Linked DNA regions of Cricetulus griseus. The protein of the gene in region 1 interacts with the protein of each later gene in a pairwise test. Links are inferred from orthologs where the notes say so. Each region holds a gene or a part of one and is shown in the gene's direction. Other genes may lie near its edges.

Region 1 (8,219 bases):
CCTGCCTCGTGACAAGGAACCAATCAGAAGTTAGCTGGTGGCGCTATGCTTTACGACCCTGGGTGTGCTTTATGGACAAGTGCACAGCAATGACGCACAAAGCATAGCAACCACCCTGGGAGGGCCTGTGGGCCATAACAAGCAGTTGGCCAATCAACACAGGGCAAGCCCTCCAAGCCTGGAGGCACACCAATCGTGAGCCTGTGCGTACCCCTAGACACTCCCCTTACGCTGTCCTATAAGATCTCTTGGGAGTCCCTAGGAGCTGTCTTTTGCTAGCCATCTGCCATGGCGGGTGGGTGAAAGACCCGAGCTAACATGGGGTTAGCTCGTTAAATTATAATACAGCCTCATGCAGTTTGCAGCAAGCTCTGGAGTCTGCCTGGTGATTGGGGTGACCGAGGTCGTGGCCTGGGACCCTGGATACCTGAGTTTTCCGGGGGTCTAACACGAACACCTGATTTTTGACAAACAATCCCAACCTATACGATGGAACAAAGAGAACATCTTTAACAAATGGTGCTGGCATAACTGGATGCAGACATGTAGAAGACTGCAGATAGACTCAATCCTATCGCCATACACAAAACTTAAGTCAAGATGATCAAAGACCTCAACATAAACCCAGCCACACTAACCCTATTAGAAGACAAAGTAGAAAATAGCCTTTAATTAATTAAAGGAAAAGGAGACTGATTTCTGATCATTACACTAGTAGCACAGACACTGAGAGTAACAATTGATAAATGGGACCTCCTGAAACTGAGAAGCTTCTGTAAGGCAAAGGAGACAGTCAGCAAGACAAAACGGCAGCCCACAGAATGGGAAAAGATCTTCACCAATCCCACATCTGACAGTGGGTTGATCTCCAAAATATACAAAGAACTCAAGAAGCTAGTCTCCAAAACACCAAACAATCCAATTAAAAAGTGGGGTACAGAACTAAATAGACAATTGTCAATAGAGGAATCTAAAATGGCTGAAGGACACATAAGAAAGAGTTCAACATCCTTAGCCATTAGGGAAATGCAAATCAAAACAACTCTGATATACCATCTTACTCCTGTTAGAATGGCTAAAATCAAAAACACCAATGACAGATTATGCTGGAGAGGATGTGGAGAAAGGGGAACACTTCTCCACTGCTGGTGAGAGTGCAAACTTGTACAGCCACTTTGGAAATCAGTATGGTGATTCCTCAAGAAAATGGGAATGAGTCTACCACAAGATCCAACAATTCCACTCTTAGGCATATACCCAAAAGAAGCACATTCATACAAGGACATCTGTTCAACGATGTTCATAGCAGCACTATTTGTAATAGCCAGAAACTGGAAGCAGCTTAGATGCCCCTCAACTGAAGAATGGATAGAGAAAATGTGGTACATTTACACAATGGAGTACTACTCAGTGGAAAAAAACAATGGAATCTTGAAATTTGCAGGAAAATGGATGGAACTAGAAGAAACCATTCTGAGTGAGATAACCCAATCACAAAAAGACAAACATCATATGTACTCACTCATATGTGGATTTTAGACATAGAGTAAAGGATTACCAGCCTACAATCCACACTGCCAGAGAAACTAGTAAACAAGGAGGACCCTAAGAGAGACATACATGGTCCCCTGGGGAAAGGGGAAAGGGGAAAGGTTCAAGATCCCCTGAGCAAATTGAGAGCATGGGAAGACGGGGAGGAAGCTAGGAGAATGAGAAGGGAAGAAGGGAGGGGTGAGGAGGACATGAGGGAGCAGAAAGGTTGAGTCAGGGGAAGAATAGAAGATAACAAGAATGGAGATGTCATAATAGAGGGAGACATTTTAGTTTTATAGAGAAATCAGGCACGAGGGAAATGTCTGGAGATCTACAAAGATGACACCAGCTAACAATCTAAGCAACAGAGGAGAGGCTACCTTAAATGCTCTCCCGTGATAATGAGATTGATGACTGACTTATATGCCATCCTATAGCCTTCATCCAGCAGCTGGTGGAAGTAGAAGCAGACACCCACAACTAATCATTGAACTGAACTGGAATCCAGATGCAGAAAAGGACGAGTGAAGAGCAAAGGGGTCCAGACCAGGCTGGAAACCCACAGAAACAACTGATCTGAACATGGGGGAACTCTTGCTCCCCAGACTGATAGCTGGGTTACCAGCATGGGACTGATCCAGACCCCAGGAACATGGGTTTCATTGAGGAAACCCCGGAAACCTACTCTCTTCCTACCCCAAGGGGCAAAATCACACAGAACTGGGGCTCTTAAATGGATCTGGAGGTGACAGATTTGACAGAGCTAAGGATGGAGGGATGAGTGTTCTGGCCTTAATGCAGGTTCTACATGTGATATGTTTGGTTGTATTTTTCTATCAGAACAGTGTTTCTTAAACCCTTGGGATTTCCTGACAGGACCTCCTTTGAAACACATCAGTTTATGCTAGGGGAATGACTTTGGGGGTGGGGGGTGATTGTCAGAGGAACCAATCAGGTGATTAGAAGGTTGGAATTTTCAGCAAACGTCTACCTCTGGAAGGATTTGACATTTAGTTAAGTGATCAAAGGCTAATGATTTGATAAAATTTGCCTACATAATGGAACTCCACAAATACCTCTAAACAACTGGGTTCAGACATTGAAGATGCTGGGAGGCAGGTGTGTCCAGAGAAGGCCAGAAGGTTTACGACACTACCCTGTCAAACAGCTCACCCTTTATCATTACCATTTGGCCCCTCCTGAGCTGCATGCTTCTTAAAGTTGTGATCCTAAGTAAATTACTCTCCTGTGTTCTGAGAGACAGCTATTGAACCTGAGGAGCAGCTTAGGGTAACCCCTGCATGGCTAACCAGTTACAAGTACAGGTGGCCCTGATATGGGATTGGTACTTGAAGTAAAAGATCATCTTTTAGGGCCGAGCCCCTAACTTCTCGGAACCTGACATGTAGCTATTATCAGAGTGGAACTGGACTGGAGTTCCTCAGTAGTGCCAAGTCTCTCCAGGTCTAGACAGTTAATGTTTCTCTTTTCCTAATTAATGTGATTGAAACAGATGCCACCTCTGATGGGAGGTAGAGAGGTTCAAGCCAGCCTGGCAGTGAGGTGTGAGTGGCAGCCAGCTGACCAAACAAGGGCTATTGTGTGTCACACTGACCCGGGCTGGCCACCTGAGCACAGCCAGCAGCAATTCTTCCTTCCTGCAGAAGCCTCGTTCCCACCTGAGATGCCCGGAGAGAAACCATGAGCTCAGAAAAACACCATATTGTTCTGTGATGTCACCTCTGGAATGTTCTGAGTGTTTTGGTGACCAGCTTATGCATAGGACCTATACCTGGCACCTCACATTGGTATGGCTTTTTACTTATATAGAAATCGTAGTGTAAAACCAGGAAGAGCTGCAATGATTTCTTCTTGTAAGAGGGCTTCATATCAGTTCATTCCTGTCTTGGTTTTTTGTTCAGTGATCAGTGTCGATCAGTTCCTGATCACTGAGCAGTAAGACTTCTGGCCAGGCGCCATGTACACATGCCTTGAGACTGTGATTTTTATAAGGTATAAAATTAGTCAGAAGGACATAAATGTGTAGAAAGAGGTTATGTGTTTCAGGTGAGCCACTGAGGCCCTGAGGATGGGTTGAGAAGGAGAAATCTGATTCTTTCTTTTTCACAGCACTCGAGGCCAATTTTTACAAGAAAGAGAGATACCAGATCTGAAAGCCTAGAAATTCCAATCAATGTGGTTCTACCTCAGGTAGGGACAATCATGGAAGAATGTAACTTGCTAGAATAACCCTGTTTCCAAGCCTTACAGAATGAACAGCGAAGTCAGCCACTCAGATTCTTGTCATGTTGGTGTTGTTTTCCTGCCCATTTGTCTTGAGGAGGACACATGGATTCTCTGAACCTTGGGGTCCTCTGGCCTTGAATGAGGAGACTGAGTTGGATGGTCAGGTCCTCCAGCACTAGCCTTTCAAGATTTGTTGATACTATGACAAAAGTCTAACCTTCCCAAAGGAGACCCTTCATTGCATGGTAGTGTATAACCACTCAGGACATCTGTAGAGAACTAGAGTCAACCTTGAATCCAGATGCATAAGAATGAACACAGGAGCTGAAACCCCAGAATGGAGCCCACTTGCAATGGTCAAGAGGATTAAGCCCTGCCATGGGCCAAAGATGGTTTACTGGGGATGAATGTTCACTTGTTTCTTTTGAAGCCAGTGAATGATTAAAACACTTATAGCTTGTGGTCTCCAGATCTCCTGCACACAGCAACTTTCTCAGTGGGACCCCCTTTTACTTGAGTGTTCCTTCTGTTGCTATGTCACAAAGGGGTGGCCTTGCTTTCTCCAGTGTTACCCAAGAGCTCATTGGAAGACCAGGGTCATGCAACCAGTGGAGGAGAAATGTAGGATGGAGGGATCCAAGGCACAGGTAATTTCCCTAAAAGTTTGGTCTCAGGAGGTATGTACAAAGAGGATGGATCTCTGGCTGGTGTTCTCTATTAGTGTAATTATAATGAGCTCAGCAAATATGGTGAGAAGGAGACAGAAACACAGGACAAGAGAACCACCTGGGTATTTTTTTTCCTTACAGCATTGTAGTAAGCAGCCACAGTTACATCTCTTTCAGCTCATGATAGCTAAGCCAGATTATTAGGCAACTATGTCCTGGGCATCCTATAGAAGAACAAGGAACCTTGCTAGGTCTGATCCCTGACACATAAACTACACATCTGTGCATGAGGGTGGCCGTGGTTCCTTTGGTACCTTTATTAGCCCACATGTTAGGGGCAGACAGGAGATACCAGCCCAGATGTGGGAGTGGGAATGGGGCTGGGAATAAGATTTGAAAGTAGGTGTATTACTTGCTGTTCACATTGTTGTGACCAAATACCTGGCAAGAAGCAAGTTAAGGGAGGAAGTCTTTATTTTGGATCTTGGTTGAGGGGTAAATCTGTTGTGAAGTGGAAGCTATGGGGTGGGGCCGCTGCCTCACATCACTGCAGATCCATGTTTTTCTCAGTCCAGGATGCTAGTTCATGAGCACTGTAAGACCCTTGGAAAGCTGAGGCTTCCAGAATCTTAGCCCAGGACCTCGGCCACCCCAATCACAGAATGGAGGCGAAAGCTAGATGCAAATTGCATGAGGCTTTATTGTAGTTTAACGAGCTAACACCATGTTAGCTCGGGTCTTTGACCCACCCACCATGGCAGATGGCTAGCAAAGACAGTTTGAAGCTGCTGCATACAGATCTTTATAGGGCAGCATAAGGGGAGTGTTTAGGGGTATGCACAGGCTCAGGATTGGTGTGCCTCCAGGCTTGGAGGGTTTGCCCTGTGTTGATTGGTCAACTGGCTGTTATGGCCCATAGGCCCTCCCAGGGTGGTTGCTATGCTTTGTGCGTCATTGCTGTGCGCTTGTCCATAAAGCACACCCAGGGTCATAAAGCATAGCGCTATCAGCTAACTTCTGATTGGCTCCTTGTCACGAGGCAGGCATCTGACTTTCTAGTGACTAACTTCTGATTGTTTCCTTGTCACGAGGCAGGCATCTGACTTTCTAGTGACTAAGACAAGGTCATAGAGCACGTGTTTGGTCATTATGGCTGCCAAAAGGGAAGCTGGTCCCTTCAAGCACTAGCCACATTAAGTATGGGCCTCCCCTCTGTTAGTCCTTCCCCATAAAGTCCCCACAGACACATCAAGGATGTGTGCCTTGCTAATGCCCTGGGTGTTTCTTAATCTAGCAAGCTGACACAAAGCCTTCATTACTGCCATGCCATAGAAAGATTAGAAAGATCCATCTACCCCTGGCATGACTTTGTCCCTAGCTCCCAGCGCCAGCTTAGCAGTCAAGGAGAAAAGGTGTTTGAGGAGTCTTGGGTTTGTTCTGGTCCTTTCAGGCCTACTTCCTGTGCTGTGGGACCTGGATCTTGGAAGGCAGAAGAATATGGAAGGAAGAGGTCACTGCTGTCTGGAGATTTTTCATGGCCAGCCAGGCTTAGTCAGCAGTCATCTCTAGGTCACTTAAGTAAGCAGCTGGTGTTGAAAAGCAGGAAGAGGATAATTCTTCAGTGTGGCAACACCTGAAGGAGGAACGAGGTGTTAGTGGTCCTCGGAGGACATCTTGAACATGAAATTTGGGTTTAAGTAGAGGTGCAGAGGTTCACATAACTAAGCAGTCCTGGTCTGGGAGTGGTCCAGCCCAGCATCATTGTGTCATCCCCAGTCTCTTCTGCAGGGTGGTCTGACAAGTTATGATGTGTGAAATGTCTGAGAGACAATCTTCCTTCGGCCTGGCACCAGCCTTCTCAGCCTTTACCTTTTTCAAACATAAGACTACAGCAGAACTTTTTTGGTGTCCATTGTTTCAATAATCTGATATCTAGAAGGATGGACTTAAGAATCTCTTTAGAATATCTTCATTCCTGCCAGGATGTTACAGGCACAAGTCAGACAACCTGTCAGGATACCCTAGACCGGTCCTCTTGGGTAGGGAAGTAGTTTACTAGATGATGTAAACTGACCCACCCACTTTGGGAGCCCATTCCACATAGAGGGATACTCCCTGAGCCAAGACACATGGGGGTGGGCCTAGGCCCTATCCCAAAGGATAAGATAGACTCTGATGACACCCTATGGAAGGCCTTACCATCCAGGGGGAGCAGAAAGGATAGGTGATAGGTAGGGTTTTAGTTAGGGGTGGGTAGTAGGGGAGGAGGGGAGGGAGCGGGAACTGGGATTGTCATGTAAAACAATCTTGTTTCTAATTAAAAATCTGCAAAAAAAAAAAAAACCCTGACCCCACCCATCTGGCTGTGAGAAGGGCCTATATGCTCATGTACCTCCCCAAATGGGATAGTGGGGCAGGATTATTATGAGAAACAAGGTGAAGAAGAATATCTTGTTGGCCACAGGGCCATGCAAGTATAAGGCAGAGATTTCACAGCTGTTGGAATTGGGAGACTCTGTAGGGAGACACCGTAACCACGCCTCCTAAGGGGTGGTGGCTACAGCTGTGCCTGACCACACCCTGACAGGCATGGTCAAGGTGAGGTCAGGATGATGCATGATGGGTTTTTAAGGAGCTGCAAGGCACGTGGGCTCCCCTTCTCTCTGGCCTGCCTGCCTTGCGGTCCCTGGCATGCTCTGGCTTGTGTTGGCTGGCGTTTATCAGTATAAAAATATCTTAACCTTATGGACTATGGATCACCGGCTCTCCTTATAATACTCAGTAACAAGGACAGAGCTGAGGTTTAACCCAGGTCAGTGTCCAGCCTGTCATGCTATTCAGTGGGTTCAGGTGATGTCTTAGCTCTAATTCTTCTCTTGCTTCTAGAATCTAGTGCATCTTCCCCCCTCATCTAGACTGCAACTGCTAACCCCCAAGCTGCCAGTATGTATCTGCTCCAGGTAGCTTCATTCTGAGTTGAGTTCATTCTCTTTGGAAGGGAATTATAACAGTACCTCTGTCTCCTGCTCTACTGGTTGGCTGGAGTTCTCGATTGCACTGCAAATGCTATGATTCACTAGTTATCACCTTTAGGTCTTTTCAGGTCTTATTGATTTCACATTTTTCTTCCTCACATTGAACACGTTTTTTCTTCTAGCACATTAGCTTGCAAGCCATAGTGTTATTTCCTGTCCAAGCAACTGATCTCCTTCTATACACAGACTCACTTTTCCAGGCATTCAAGCTTCCCCAGTGAGCTGTTTCCTTTAGACATTGTTAGTGCTAGATTGTCAATGAAAGATTAGCGTTAGATCGTCAAGGAGAGATCTCTGTCTGGATCTGAATGCAGCTGACAGTACTTCCTAGTGCCCACTCCATTTCCCTTTATTTTTTCCTCCTTCCTCTTTGGCTCACAGCAATGCCAACTGAAATAGCTTCAGAGCAAGATTTTAGGAGAGTCATCAATTAGCTAAGATGATTACATCGGACATCTTTATTCTCTTTGCTGTTAGCATTAAAAATATATCAAAACCAATCATATTTACCTTGTTAGCATTTAGTAAAACAAACAATGTCTTTGGCTATTTAGCATAGGTGAGAAAGTTTTTTGGGTTTTTTGTTTTTATGACAGCAGCACTCAGCTGTGAAGGTTTTTCCTTCTAGGACCCTGGTGCCCTTCAGTTTCACATGCATTAAAAGTGCTTCAGCTGGCTGAGCATTCCCTACTGTTAACACTCAATAGTGTTGACGAAGCAGGTGCTTTAGAAGCTT
Region 2 (7,958 bases), about 23 Mb from region 1:
AGCCTAGAGTGCACAGGCCAGCAGCAGAACTAACAAGTGGGACTTTGACTCAACATGATTGGAGGTAGGAGCTTCTCCCAAAAGTCCTCTGATCCCCAAACACACACTATGGTACTAGCACACCTGTACACTGCCCCCCCCCACACACACACACCAGCTATACACATCACACATTCCATACACATACCGTATTCATATACACACGCTATATACACATTTACACACATACATACACATACAAAAATAATAATTTTGTAAAAAGTAGAGATTTTGTAAGATGCCTTGATTAGAGCAATTTATAAGAGAAAGTGTTTAATTGAGGTTAATGATTCCAGAGGATTAGCATCCACACTTTCAGAGTAAAGGCATGGTATCAGGAATAGCTGGGAGCTCACCTATGGAACTGTAAGCAGAAGGCAGAGCGAGCCACTGAGAATGGCACCAGTTTTCTGAGAAACCTCAAAGCACAGCAAGGCCACACCTCCTAATCCTTCCCAAACAGTTCCACCAACTGGGATCAAAGAATTCAAACACAACCTGGTGGCGGTGGTGGCACATGCCTTTAATCCCAGCACTTGGGAGGCAGAGGCAGGCAAATCTCTGTGCGTTCACGGCCAGCCTGATCTACAAAGGGAGTTCTAGGACTGCCAGGACTGTTACACAACGATACCCCTGACTCAAAAACCAAAGGGGGGGGGGAGAATTAAAACATATGAGCCCATGGGGGCTATTCTCATTCAAACCACCACAGTCAGTTCTTGAGATGTTGTATTTCCAATGAAGAAGTTACATCTCTATTAGCAATTTGATAGGGAAAAGAGGAATGTCATTCACAGACACTACCAATTCTCTGATTTCTTCTCATTCCCCAGTGCTCAGTCTTACCTGGCCCCCAAAAACTTGTTATTTTCATGTCTGTTTTTAAAATGATATGGATGAAGAATAACAATTTAAATATATAATCATGTCCCTTCGAATTCCAAAAGTACTCATAAAAATAGCAGCATAAATTTATTGAAGGTTTACTTTGACCCAGACATTTTCATATCATTACAACAACCCTTTAAAGCATCAACTGGCATTGCTCTAGAATCTCACCACCAGACCCCAGGGGTAATACCCTATGTTCTGATACCTGCCTACAAAAAACGAAACAAACAAACAAACAAAAAAACACATTCAATCTTCTATCATGTCAGACCTGTAAGTGGCAGTGATATTTATTGTTCAGCACAAGCCAGGAATTTAACATAAAACTAAAGTACAAGAAATGCAAAGCTGAGGCTGGGCATGGGGCACAGGCCTTTAAACCTAGCACTTGGGAGGCAAAGGCTGGCAGATCTCTGTGAGTTCTAAGCCTTGTAGGCCAACTTGGTCTAGATAGTGAGTTCCAGGCCAGTCAGAGCTATTAGAGACCTCCGAACAACAAAAACAAAATCAAAGAGAAATAAAGGAAATGTGCAGTAGGTGGCAGCACATTTCCACAGCTGTCAACCACCCACCCTCGAGGCTCGAGAGTCATTTGATAAAGTCAAATCTCTACGACCCAGAAACAAACCAGGCACCGATGTATCCAGCTAGTACAGTTGCCCATATGTGGTCGCGTAATTATTCTATCTGTACTGATGATTATGCAGGGTATGCTTCTACCGCCACGAGGTTAGAGACGAAGCCACAGCTGTGTAAAGCGTGCTTCCAGGAACCAAGAGTTTACAGCACCCTGAGGCCTTTTTAATGCCACACGTTAGCACTTTGGAACATTTAGCATAAAACTCTTCATTTGCATTCCAAGGACCAACAATACCCAGTGTAGTGTTGTTTAAAGATATAAGTCGGACTTTCAATTCCCTAGCGTTTAATTCAGCTGCCACCTAATAAGCTCGCGATCTTGTACGCGTTTAACCACATGAAAAATTAGGTTAATAACAGAGGTTTGTGGGAATTCGGTGTACTATGTGGAAGTTCTTAACCTTTGAAAGCCTGGAGCATACTCGGAAAGACAACCAACAAACGGAAGAAAAAGTAAATCAATTAGGCTTTATATTTATTAAATTGCTAAGTATAATAATTATTAGCTTTCGTTACACCTAAATTTCATTGGTCACCTAAATCTGATTTTTGTTACGGTATTCTCCCGTTTTACTCGGGGAAAGCAGCCAAGGCTCAGAATTCTCTGGCACCAAACGAAGACAAAGGAAGTCAACACGTTCTGTCTTCACCTGCCCACCCAACTCTCAGCCCCGCCCCTGGCCCTGCCCAGGCCTCGCCCCGCGAGTCCCCGCCCCCTGCGAGGCTGCTCCCCGTCCCCAAACCCTCCCCTGCCCCGCTGGTCTCCGCCCCAGGCCCGCGCAGTTTGAGACCACGCCCCTTCTGGTGACTAAGCCCCTCCCACGTACGGCTTCCGTCGCAAAAAGATGTACATACAGATCGCTTATTGGCTGCTAGCAAATACTCCCTCTTCTCATTAGTTGACACCGTCCGGGTCGAAGTTCCACGGAAGATGCTTTCAGCTACTTGGGCTGATGGTCACAGACACTTGCACTTCCGTTTCCGGTGTGTCCTGGAGCCATGGCTACCGCCAAGGAGGTGAAGCTTCTAATTAGGTGCTGCAGATGGTGCCGCAGCCTTCGAGGATCCCAGTCCCGAGTAAGTGCACCCTTCCTCTGCTGGCAAAGAGCTGGTTTCCAGGGACATCTCTCGGAGGAGGAGCGACCTCGGCGATGCCTCCCGCAGCAGGCACGTGCAACCTTTCTGTTTCTTTCGCGGTCTGCAGGCTTTCGCCGCCCTTGTGCCCGGTGTGTCCCAGGTAGACAACAATTCCGATTTTCTGGGGAAGACGCCCCATCGTAAGCATCCTGGCATCCTGCGTCTTCCGCACGTGCGGCTGCCGCAAGCACTGGCTGACGCAGCACAGTTATTGCTTCTTGGTGAGAAACTGCGGGAAGGGAAAACCAAAGAAACAAACGAGGCCACCACATAGTGATGTCTTTCCATCTGTGGCCACAGAGAGACCCGTCCGCAATGTAGAGAAGCAGGTGCAGGCGCTCACCAACTATCTCTGGAGCCGACATTTGCCAGTAGAGCCTGAGGAGTTGCAAAGACGGGCTGCGGATCTTGAGAAAAAATTCCTAGAAAGCCAAGGTAGGATTTAAGACTAAAAGTGAACCATATTGAAATGTCAGTGAGAAGTTAGGAGCAAGGAATAACAAATCTCTCGGATAAATGCTGCCGTTTTTTTGTTGTTGTAGTAACAGCAGTAGTAATGCTCTACTAGAAGGTAGATTGGGCCAGAGGTTGCCCTTGGAGATTGGATAAAGGTCAGAAATTTATATATTTGGGTTTTTTGTTTTCTTCATTTTTTTCCTACCTCTTCAAGTCTGATAGATTATGACTATATGTTGATTCTGGTAGAATAAAGGCCGTATAGGTGGCTGGCAGTAAGTAGTGAGATCTACTTCAGGAGTAGAAAGTGATTACATTTCAGATTATTTTCAAGATTGTGAACTTTATATTGCAAATTTGCTCCTTATTCTTGTATTCCCTTCATGTCCCACGGTACCTGGTTCAGAGTAGCTGTCCTAGTGTTCTATTGCTGTGAAGAGACAACTCTTATAAAAGAAAGCATTTTAATTGGCGCTAGCTTACAGTTTCAGTCTATTGTCACCATGTCGGGGAGCATGACTGCACGAGTGTGGACATGGTACTGGAGAAGTAACTGAGATTCCAACATCTGAGCCTGCAGGCAGCAGGAAGAGACTATGGGCTTAGCATGGCCTTTTGAAACTTCAACGCCTACCTCCAGTGACACACCTCCCCCAAAAAGGCCACCTCTCATAATCCTTCAAATAGTGCCATTCCCTGGTGACAGAGCATTCAGTCAGTGAGCCGGTGGCAGCTGTTCTCTGTCAAACCACTGCAGTGGGTGTTTATAGAATTTTACTACGTGGTCCTGAGCTCAACACACTCATGAGTCCTAGATTCCAAGCGCCTTTCTATTGGAATATTGAAGATGTCTCACTACTAAGTGTAAAGGAAGTGAAAATGTCCATGAAGATGTCCTTATTCTAGCTTTTAAATTTTTATCACATGGGTAGGAGAGAGAGCACAGAGTAAAAGCATGTGCCACAGAACCTGATGACCTTCTACCAAATGGTTGGAGGTGAGAACTGACTCAGACCTATACACACACAATAAATAAATGTAAAAAAAATTAGTTTTTTTATCAGACTTCTGTTTACTCTGAAGCTTGGATAGGTTAAGTTGACTAAGGTACTATCAGAGGCAACATACTGTTCGGTCCACTCTGGGACAGTGGTGGTTTACTCTCTCCAGAGGTTTCTCTGGGTTTGGCTTCTCTTGAACTTGGAGCGTTTTCTCAGGTGGGCGTGGGGGAGGATTAGGTGGGCAGTGTACTACATTGGATCTGACCAGTTCTCTCAGGTCCTCACCTCCAGCCCTTCTCACCCTAGACTCAACTCAGACAGAGGAGAAACTTCGTGGGGCAGTACTGAATGCCCTGCGCAGAACTACCTACCATTGGCAGAAACTCAGGTAAGGACTTGTAGAAAGGGTACAGAGAAGAAACATTGAATATAAGGACTTGTAGAAAGGGTACAGAGAAGAAACGTTGAATTGGAGGAGAGCTGAGAGAATTAATCACCTCTGTGTTTGAGAAAGCTTCCTGGACTGTTCTGTATTGGGAAGGGAAACCCAGAAGAGTCCTCTGCAAATTTTTCATTTCCTAAACGTCCGAGGGTCACTGTGGGGCTGGTGTATTTCCTGGTGGGGGATGACTGATTTTTATTTTCTATTTATTTATTTGCAGTTATAATGAAGAGCTGAGTCTGATATATATGGCAGCAAGATTGGACGGTGGTTTTGCAGCAGTTTCTAGGGCATTCCATGAGGTGAGTCTCTCATGTTCCCACCTGACCCTGTTATCGTTGTTTTTATTACCTGTAAATTAGTCTTTTGTGAAAGGAGTTCTTGAAATGTTATAAACACGTTAATTATCCTATTATCCTTTGAAATAATTCTATGGCCTGAGAAATGTTTAGCATCACTGAGATGTTTCCTATCTCAAAGTATTTTTATTGAATCTTATAAAGCATTCATGTTCCACCTCTGTCACGGTCCCCTAACCTTCACTAAGGCTAACTGACCTTTCTGTGGGTGTCATGTATTTTCTTCAGATCCAGGCTCGAGTTCCAGAGTTCCAGCCACAAACGTTGATGGACTTTGGATCCGGCACTGGTTCTGTCACCTGGTAAATAATTTTCTTAGCCCTTGGTGGTGTCAGTTCTAATTCTAGAGAGTCAGATCTTCAATACCACCTCAGTGTCAAAAAACTGGGATACTAGAGAACAAGAAAGTTAGACCTAAAATGTTGTTGCCCTCAGATTAGACAAGGCAAAAGAAGGTGTTCACATTAGGGTCAGATTCAAAGCAGTGCACATGAAAAAGGTTCAGTACTTGGGTTAAAAGAGAAAGCAATTTAGTGTAGGGAATAGATTTTACATGCCAATCAAAAATTTTTTGTCGACGGGCATTGGTGGCACACTCCTTTAATGCCAGCACTCAGGAGGCAGAGGCAGGTGATCTCTATGAGTTCGAGGCCAGCCTGGTCTCCAGAGCGAGTACCAGGATAGGCTCCAAAGCTACACAGAGAAACCCTGTCTTGAAGAAAGAAAAAAAAAAATTGTCTACAAGTCAGTTTTGTTTTTTTTTAATCATCTGCCTTTTATTTCAGAAGTTGTAAATGTACCAAGAACATAAAATAACACTGTTAGCTTATCTGTTTTAATGTAATGCCCTGATTCCCCAGGGGCGGGATTGAGAGCAGGTGGGTTTCTTAGAGGAATGACCGTGTCGGGACTGGAGAGATGACTGACTCAGAGGTTAAGAGCACTGGCTGCTCTTCCACTGGTCCTGAGTTCAATTCTCAGCAACCACATGGTGGCTCACAACCATCTATAGTAAGATTTGGTACCCTCTTCTAGCATGCCAAAACTGTATACATAATAAATAAATAAATCATTAAAAAAAAAAAGGAATGACTGTGTGTCATAAAAATTGGTGGTTTTCATCTTGCCATCTCAGGGCTGCTCACAGTACTTGGGGCCAGAGCCTCCGTGAATATGTGTGTGTGGACAGTTCAGCAGCCATGTTGGGTTTGGCTGAAAAGCTACTAAAAGGTGAGACCAAGCTCTAATCCAGGGATTTCCAAAAGTTGAGGGAGTTAGGAAAGAATTTTATTGGGATGTAGAGGAGAGAGTTATAAATTAAGATAATCGGCCAGGCGTTGGTGGCTCATGCCTTTAATCTCAGCACTCGGGAGGCAGAGGCAGGCAGATCTCTGTGAGTTCGAGGCCAGCCTGGTCTCCAGATCGAGTGCCAGGATAGGCTCCAAAGCTACACAGAGAAACCCTGTCTCAAAAAGCCAAAATTAATTAATTAATTAATTGAGATAATCTGGGCTCCTTCCAGTATTACAGTGAGACAATATTAGAGGCCTTTATGGGACTCTGGTTGGTTGGATGGGATTAGTAGGCCACGTTTTTAATTACAGTCCTGCACCTCTCAGCTGGGGTTATCTGAGGAATGTCTCTTCACTGAGTGTAAACTTTGGCTATAAAGTTTATGTTCTGTCTTTGCTGCCACATCTTTCTTCCGTAGGTGGTTCAGAATCAGGGAAGCCCTGTATCCCAGGTGTCTTTTTCAGACAGTTTCTACCTGTGTCACCCAAGGCAAGTAGCAAGTAAGTTATTCTCAGATCTAGTGTGGCAGGTGGACAGCTGTGGTTTCAGCCTTGAAACCCACCATTGTGTGTTAGAAGACAAAAGAAGCAATAGAAGACATTTAAGACACCCATAATCTCAGGACTCAGGAGCTGAGGCAGGAGGATTACCATTGGTTCAGGTTCAACCTGGAATACATAATGAGATATCTTGGGGTCAGGAGGATTTAGAGGCTAGGAATTTGTTGTGCTTTTGGATAGGGCGATGTCAGATCTGTTTGTCCCTTATCTTGGTCCTCAGGTCCAGTTTGATGTGGTCGTGTCAGCCTTCGCCCTCAGTGAACTACCCAGCAAGGCTGACCGAGTTGAGGTAGTTCGGAACTTGTGGCGTAAGACAAGCCATTTTCTGGTGAGTTGAAATCCTTTCCCCCTCAAGTTTTAAAGCAGCTTTGTGGTTCTGTGCCTTGTCCTCTGGTTATCACATAGTGTTTTTTCTCTTTTATAGCTCTTTGCACTTCCTCAGGGTATCCACCTTTCACACAATGCCCACTTCCCTGCCAGTGTCCTGACAGCGCTACTGGCATTTGCTTTGGGATTCAGAGCGCCTGCTTATTTCCTCTGTTTGTAAACAGGTGTTGGTGGAGAACGGAACAAAAGCTGGGCACCATCTTCTCATGGATGCCAGGAACCTGGTCCTTCAGGTGAGGTTCCTTGTCCTCAGTCCTTCCCCTTTCTGTCGTAAGGTTACTGTTACTGCCTTGGAGCTGGTGGCTGTCCCACATCTGTAATGGTGACTCATGATACAGCAAAGTGGTTGGCAAATGAGAGTTTCTAGGTCAAACCCCCAGCACAGTACCTGTTGCCCTGGGAGCTATGCATATTCATGTCTTGACAGAGCTCACCCTGCAGACTGCAGTTAAGCACCTCAGAGATGGGTGCTGCTCACTCCTTTCAAAAACTTACTTTGCTGACTCCTGATTGACGGTGTTGCTGACCCAAGGACTTGTCTCAGTGAAACCATGTGAACCAATATAGAGTCCTAAATTTAATTGAGTGAGAATGAGGGTTTTTTTTTTTTTTTTAGTGGCGGTTGCTGGTAGGAGACTACAGTACCAAGCACCAAGTCCCTGCCTTTCTGTAGCCAGCTTAACTGGGTGAACATGGTTTGTCGGTATTAGAATTATTCTGGGGAGTTCTCAGTTCTCTGCGTGCCGAGGTTGGA

Evidence for each region. The genes of interacting proteins can lie anywhere in the genome.
Region 2: the proteins of Cby2 (region 1) and Mettl17 interact in binary tests that used the Homo sapiens proteins (3 or more experiments, as listed by UniProt). The link is inferred for Cricetulus griseus from reciprocal best matches to the Homo sapiens genes CBY2 and METTL17.

The regions. Positions count from the first base shown.
Region 1 is NW_023276807.1:229,958,760-229,966,978, reverse strand, and holds the start of Cby2 (protein chibby homolog 2), read left to right. Parts: upstream 1-3,266; coding exon 3,267-3,341; intron 3,342-3,663; coding exon 3,664-3,744; intron 3,745-4,379; coding exon of another isoform or gene 4,380-4,427; intron 4,428-8,219.
Region 2 is NW_023276807.1:206,953,296-206,961,253, forward strand, and holds the start of Mettl17 (methyltransferase-like protein 17, mitochondrial), read left to right. Parts: upstream 1-2,494; 5' UTR 2,495-2,568; coding exon 2,569-2,646; intron 2,647-2,773; coding exon 2,774-2,927; intron 2,928-3,006; coding exon 3,007-3,141; intron 3,142-4,469; coding exon 4,470-4,551; intron 4,552-4,825; coding exon 4,826-4,907; intron 4,908-5,192; coding exon 5,193-5,266; intron 5,267-6,099; coding exon 6,100-6,194; intron 6,195-6,675; coding exon 6,676-6,746; intron 6,747-7,037; coding exon 7,038-7,145; intron 7,146-7,368; coding exon 7,369-7,437; intron 7,438-7,958. UniProt on the Homo sapiens protein: Mitochondrial ribosome (mitoribosome) assembly factor. Binds at the interface of the head and body domains of the mitochondrial small ribosomal subunit (mt-SSU), occluding the mRNA channel and preventing compaction of the head domain towards the body.